Linked DNA regions of Mus musculus. The protein of the gene in region 1 interacts with the protein of each later gene in a pairwise test. Links are inferred from orthologs where the notes say so. Each region holds a gene or a part of one and is shown on either strand. Other genes may lie near its edges.

What was found.
Region 2: the proteins of Coq8a (region 1) and Tmem239 interact in binary tests that used the Homo sapiens proteins (3 or more experiments, as listed by UniProt). The two-hybrid records come from large-scale screens. The link is inferred for Mus musculus from reciprocal best matches to the Homo sapiens genes COQ8A and TMEM239.

The regions. Positions count from the first base shown.
Region 1 is NC_000067.6:180,175,393-180,179,205, forward strand, and holds part of Coq8a (atypical kinase COQ8A, mitochondrial), read right to left. Parts: coding exon 3,491-3,813; intron 3,252-3,490; coding exon 3,185-3,251; intron 1-3,184. UniProt on the Homo sapiens protein: Atypical kinase involved in the biosynthesis of coenzyme Q, also named ubiquinone, an essential lipid-soluble electron transporter for aerobic cellular respiration.
Region 2 is NC_000068.7:130,405,195-130,408,407, forward strand, and holds Tmem239 (transmembrane protein 239), read left to right. Parts: upstream 1-1,327; 5' UTR 1,328-1,381; intron 1,382-1,515; 5' UTR 1,516-1,529; coding exon 1,530-1,985; 3' UTR 1,986-2,600; downstream 2,601-3,213. Other genes in the region: 1700020A23Rik (uncharacterized protein C20orf141 homolog), read left to right, coding at 352-509, 587-824.

The DNA.
Region 1 (3,813 bases):
AGAACCAAAGGTGTCAAGTGCCCACACTCTCAGGTCCAAGACATGGCAGCAAAACAGCTTGTTTATTCAAAACAATCAGGCCCATGGTGACAAAGGAAGTCTCGTGTCAACTACATGCATGACTTTTAAGATTTCTGGAGGCCATTAAAAAACAGGCGAGAAGAAACATGGAGAGTGAATTCTAATGCATTTAGCCCAGCATAGTTAAAATAAAAATCAATGTAAAAATTGAAAGCACTTTCCATCTCGGGTGTGTGCACTGTCTTCAAATCCTGTGGGAAGGCACATGCATTGGACACATGGGGCAGAACAAGCCAAACTGGAAGAAGCCACAGCGACAACCAAGACATGCTGGTGGTGCCCTGGGATAGGGTGCTACTGTGGATGTCTGGTGGGGCAGGCACCAGCCCTTTAACACTCCGCCTACCCAGGCCAGTCTGGATGGCACTGGGCACTGGGAGCCAGAGTCCTAATTAAACATTAACTTCCCGCCAACTGTCTTCCTCGCCCTACCTAACACAATATCTAACTTAGCAAAAGAAAGGAGGACAGGCAGCATTCAGTCACCAAGGTCCCTGTGGAGTCCTTCCAGCTTAGAGACACGCCCACAGAAAAGGCAGACGACATCCAGCCGCACACACAGCAGTCAGAGCCCCCTACACCTACCCCCGGCCGCACAGCGCTGGGTCAAACTGTCCCTGCCTGCTTCTGGGCTCCCAGGCAAAGCACAAACTCTACCACGGGGGTGGGGAGACAGTTATTAAACAAATGCCTGAAGGAACATTCTAGAAAGGAGGCCTCTGGCTCCATCAGTAGCTGCACCAGACCTAGGAGCTGCCAAGAGAGGGGCAGGCTCCTGCAGCAGGCAGACCAGGAGGGAAGAACAAGCTCACCCTACCAGTGATCATGATCTCCCCGGTTCTATGAACCCAGAATAAACTGGCTCCCCTTCATGGGCCTGGTATAATGAGATTCTTGGAATCCCCTGCCCAGCTCAGCTTCACCTAGAACCAGGTAAACCTGGGATAACTAACTCTGGGAAGGGGAATTCCAGGCTGGGATTTTTCTGCCATCTTCAGATACCTTGCTTCTGCACCCAAGGACCTCACACAGCACTGCCTCTTCTACTGTGTGTGTTCTGTGTCTAGAAGGCTTGATCTCCACATGTCACTGAGAGGAGAGAACCACTGTTGGCAGCCTGACCTTCCTCCTGGCCTGTGACGGCACACTGCCCATACACAGAAAGTTCCTAATACTTCTCATTAAAAGTGGTTTTGCCACCAAGGAAGGGAAGTGACAGGGCACAGAACTCTCCCGCAGGCAAAGCAGAGGTCCAGCGGGCCTGTGTCCAGGCTGGGAGCCTATTCTGGGTAACTCAGGAGCCTCACCTAGCCTCCCCATTCAGGTCCCTCTGGAAGTCACCAAAGAAACAGTCACTCCACTCCCTACCAGTCACCACAGGTGGAAAGCAAAGATTTTAACCACAGGAGCCTTCATGAGCAGGCTGGGTAGCATTGAGAGTGGAACAGCAGGCTACCACTCCTGCTGGTGCTGCTCTGCATGGTGAAATCCCAGGGCTTGTTTACAACACGTGGCTGGAAAGGGCCTCTGCATAAGCAACCAGACAAGAGTACTGAGGAACCAGGCACTGTAGACCAGGCCCCACCTGTACTCAGGAGGGACCCAGGGTCTTGTGTGTGTGCTAGGCCAGATCTCCACTCCCTGAACCACATCCTCAGCCCTAAAGTCCACTGTAATTAATACACATGGCTCACTCACTCTGCTAAGAAAGTCCACATAGAGCAGACAGACAGACATGGCTAATGTCCTCTGCGTGGGTACTAACAGTGTACTTCTAGATAATACTGGCATCCAATAGCAGCCTCATCCCCCAGGCACTGCAGCCCAGGAGGAAGAGGGAGAGAAACAAAAAGAAAGAGACAAAGCTCCCTGAGGTGTCTTCTCCCCGGGGAAGACCTAACAGGTCCTCTGCTGTCTATGTAGGAAGGTAGGTGCCTACTCATAGGACAGGCAGCTCAGATGTCCCTGCACAAGACAGAGGTCTGTGCTCAGCTCCTCCTCTGAAACTGCACAGAACAGCAGCCATTCTCAGCAGGTTCCTCTCACACTCGATGAAGAATCTGCTACCACATACACAAGCACCATGACAGATGCTTCACTGCAGGCCCAGAAACTGTCAGGACCCACAGCCTGAACCTTCTGAAACTGCCTGTTGCTTCTGCCACAGGTTTTGGCAATGGTAGAGAGCAGAGAAAGTAACTGATAGAGATGGACAAACAAGAGGATATACTTTCCAGGAAAGGGAAGACAGAAGGTCCTGGGCCTCCCTAACCAACTCAACACCAGGACCATCACTGTCATAACCTACCAGAACTGTTATTTAGCTAACCACTGGTCCAAGGCCAGTATGTGAAACAAGCCAGCAAAGCTATTCTTTTGTAGTTTACATTGCCTGAACCTGGAGAACCTACAGAGCACAGATAAACCTTCATAAACTGCACCTCCAGAAACCCACATCACAGCACCCTGCAGCAAATGGCCAAGCACTCGCAACAGGACCTCGCAGACGAGCAGTGTGCACATGCACTATGTAAATGTCCTTCCAGAAGAGCACAGGTATGGTAGGGTCAAAGGCTACTTGCATAAAAGCAAGGACAAATAAAATGCCCAGGCCTGCAGCAATCAGCTTTAACTGTTGGCAGCAAAGGGCCAGAGTCTGTCAGTACCACACTAGCAGTCAGACTATAGGATCTGGTAAACAGGTTCCCCAAATGGCTGGTCCCAGACCAAAAGGCCCTCTATCTAGGGAGCCAAAGGGCCCAGTGAGGCACCTGTATTCATGACCGGTCTCCTTCCAGCAAAGACTGCCCCAAGGACTAGCCAACTAGCCCAAGCTGTAGCCCATGGCAAGATACAGCCACACACCAGGCCCAGGGATAAGCCAAGATGAGGCTGGAATCCAGTAATGAGGTCATCACCCACAGGAAAACACTCAGCAGCTACTTCATGGGCAACATGGCCATATACCACCCAGTACTGGGGCACGGCTGGATTCCCAACCATTTCCACCTTAATGTACATTGGCCACCTCCACTCGAACAGGACAAACAGGGCAGGGCAGGGCAGTAGAGGAGGGGCAGCACGGGGTACGTGACCACCTCACCTCCAAAGTTGGCCAACCGCCCAATCCGGGTAACTGGCACCTTCCGCTCCCGAGCCCGCTCACTGAGCTGAAGGGAAAAACAAGAGAGACCTATAGGACTGACAAAACTAACAAATGAGACAAGACAGCCTGAGGCTCATGCTGTCTGTGCCTCCCCTCTCCACTCCCACTGGCAGCACTGTACAAAAAGGCTTCCAGGTATTTCTAAAGTCACAGCATGGGAGGTTGGGGGGAGATGCGGACCAGCCCCAGCCCCACTAGGAATAGAAACCACCCAAGTCCAGCCAGAACGCCTCTCAGACCTACCATCTGCTTGTGTGGCTTGCTCTCAGGGCGAGCCTTGGCCTGCCGGGCCTTTTCAATGTCTTCAGCCGTGAGGCCTCCCACGGAGGACTGGTCCTGGTGGAAGGATCTTCGCTGGATGCCGTTGGCCAAGAACAAGTCTCTGTGATCTACAAAGAGCCTTCCATTGACTCTGCCCATAGGAGAGGTGGCCTGTCCAGGGAGCCCAGCTTCCCTGAAAGGCCCACTGGAAGCATAGGCAGGGGCCGGTCCCTGACTGTGGGATGGAGACAGTGACTGGTCCAGGGAAGAGGCCGCAGAGAAGTCCAGGGAGGTTCCAGCTGCCT
Region 2 (3,213 bases), on another chromosome or scaffold:
ACTGTTGTCCTGTCCTTAATTCAAGGTCCTCCCTGATAATAGGTCACAATGCCCCAGAGTGTCCAAATCTAGAATGGTCACCCAAGTGGGAGGAGGTGAGGAGAGTTGGTGAAGATGTGGGGTGGGAGTGGGGGGAGGGAGATCCCCAAAAAGCTTAGTTCCTTACTCACAGAGCTAACCCTTGAGTGTCTGCCAAGGCCCTCCTCTCTTCCCTGATCCCTAATCTCTTAGCACTAGGTCTTCCTAATAACCTCTAGGACCCAGCTCAGCTCACCCTTGCCCTTCTAAAGCCATCCCACTCCTTCCCAGGGGTCTGGATCCTGGAGAGGGACTGAGTAGGGTCAGCGAGTCATGTGCCCCCCCTGGGACTTCAGCCAGGCCCAGCTCCTGGACAGTATCCTAGGGCTGGGGGCACTAGGAGTGACAATTCGAACCATCTTCTCAACGGCTGGCCTAGCCCTGCTGCTCCTGTTGCTGACCAGCTTCCTTGTTTTTGACCTGCTCTATGGGTAAGTGCCACCTGTCAGATAGGTGTCACAAACACAAATGAGCAATTGCCTCGAGCTGCCATCTTCTCTCTCCACAGGCCCACAGGTGCCAACCTGCCACGACACAGACTTCTCCCAATGGGTCAGAGCCAGGGGGCTGGTGAAGGCCCAGGACAGCAAGCAGCTCCCCTCTCTCCAACAAAGATGGCCTCGGGACTGCTCAGCCTGCAGGATGCGCTGCTCCTGCTGTTCCTGGGCCTGCGCCTGTTCTTGGGAGGCTCTGGTATACCCTTAGCCATGCTGGGCCTAGCTTTCTGTATCCATCCTTGGGCCTGAGGGCCCTCCTAAAGCTGAATGCCTTCTGAAAATACAACATCCAATCTGCTCTCTCAGATTTCTTCTCTTCCATCCTGAGCTACATGAGGGTAAGGTTGTGTGATAAGGACAGAATACTCCATCATATTCAGCTTGAACCTCAGGGCCTTCTAGTTCCACAATGTGGACATTTGAGAACTGTCAAAGGCATATTACCTTTGCCTGAAGCTTAGGGCATTAAGAGAAGGCAGAGAAAAGGGTAGTTACAGCAACCAACTCCAGCCATGGGGTTGGAAGCAGCCATCAAGGAGGGACAGGTGTGGGGAAGGCTTCCTACAAGAAGAAGAATGGTAGGCTTGCTGGGCTCTCCTGCTAGCCTGGAGGGACCATTAAGTAAAGGACATAAGTGACTCTCACACTATGCAGTAGCTCCTCTCTTGGCTGAGCCCCACCCCAGTCCGGGTCATAATGCACTCCTCTGGGGATGGTGGGGCAGGCGAGGGAGAGACTGGGATCTGGCTGCCAGGCCAGCCTAGACACAACAGGAAGCACCATGACTTAGGTGGCTCTGCCCAAAGGTAAGTCCTAGGCCCCAGTTCAAAGTCCAATCCTGCCCATGCTGGTATCCCCCTGACCCCTGCATGCCCACCTATCCAGAGGTCCTGGGCATCTTAAGGGCTGCCCCCTGCAGCTGGCCTGGCCCTGTCCACAGGTGCACCAGCCGTGATGCAGCAGCCACGAGTGGAGTCGGATATCATCGGGGCTGGCGAGGGGCCCCAGCGGGCAGTGCCCTGGTCAGCCTGGATCATCCGTCAGGACTGGGTGCGCTGGTGGGTATGCCACATACCTCGGAGCTGGACCCAGTGGTGGAATACATCAGGCTGGCGGCAACCACTACAGCGGATGCTGTGGGGTCTGGAGGGGACACTCTACCTGCTGCTGGCACTGATGCTATGTCACGCACTCTTCACCACGGGCTCCTACCTGCTGAGCTCGCTATGGCCCGTGGTGGCTGTGATGTGGAGCCACCTGCTGCCAGCAATCCTGCTGCTTGTGCTCAGTGCCCTGCCTGCTCTGCTCTTCGCAGCCTCCTTCCTGCTGCTCTTTTCCACACTGCTGAGCCTCGTGGGCCTGCTCACCTCCATGACTCAACCAGGCTACGCTCAGGACTTGGACCAATAGAAGGGCAACCCCATCTTACTGCTTGTGTCTGTTGAGCCCTGGCCTAGGGCCTGAGCCCCGTGGGGAGGGGGGCAGTGGAACTTCAACAGACCTCAGACCCCCCCCCCCCCAATCACAAATACAAGTGGGGGTCTGGCTTCTGGGCATCTACCTTAAACCCACATTGGTGTCAGGAACAGGACAGACAGTTTAGCCAGGAGCAAGAGCTTGGACCAACCACTGAGAGCACCCGTATGGATGTGGTAACATCACTTGGTCTTCCTGGCAGAATCTTTTAGTCACATCACCTCAGCCCTACCAGCTTCAGGCTTCCTGAGAATTTCCACCTACATACCCCTGGACTTGTCTGGATTTGTCCCGGATCCTCTCTTTCTACTTCCAGGAGGAACACACACTCTGGAATGGGTCTCACTGCCAGGACGATAGCTAGGGATCTCACCTCACTCACCTCTCAGAAATGGGAAAGAGGCCAATCATGATAGTGTGTGTGTGTGTGTGTGTGTGTGTGTGTGTGTGTGGACCCAAGGCTTTGTGCATAAGCATACACTCCACCCTACACACTCTTATTTTTTTTTTAAGAATCTCCAGGTCTGTTACAAAAAAAATCAAAGTCCTGTTTCAGCCTCCTACATCTTGGCTGATTCACTACTTTTGAACCTTGGTGTTAAGTGAGCCCCAATGCTTTCATGGGTTTGTTATGATCAAAAGTCAGTATCTATTTGCAAAATACTTTGCTGCTGTTGTTGTTTTGAAACAGGGTCTCATGAAGCCCAGGATGGCTTTGAACTATTTAGCTGAGGTGACTTTGAATTTCGGATCCTATTGTCTCTATGTCCAGGGTACTGGAATTAAAACTTGTGCCACCATGCCTGATTTTATGAAAAGTATTTGGTAAGGCCAAACAGCAGTTAAGATGTTTTGAGCTCTAAAAACATATAAGTTCAAAAGGCCTTTTGATTCAGAAGCTAAGAGATTAAATTTCTCTAGGCTTCTACAGAAACTCTGTCACTCATGGAATCCCAGCCCTAAAACAGTTGACACGGAATAGGCAGTGTGGTGAGATGTGCAAGGTGTGTGTCTCAAGCTAGGCAGACACTGGACTGTATGATCTGTGTAATGCTCGAGGCTGGAGCCTGGTGCCAGGGAACTTGTGCAATGCTGTGCTCATGGAAAAAGGAAAGCGCAGAGATTTGCAGGATTGATTAAGCAGGCTGCTTCCACCAGAGGG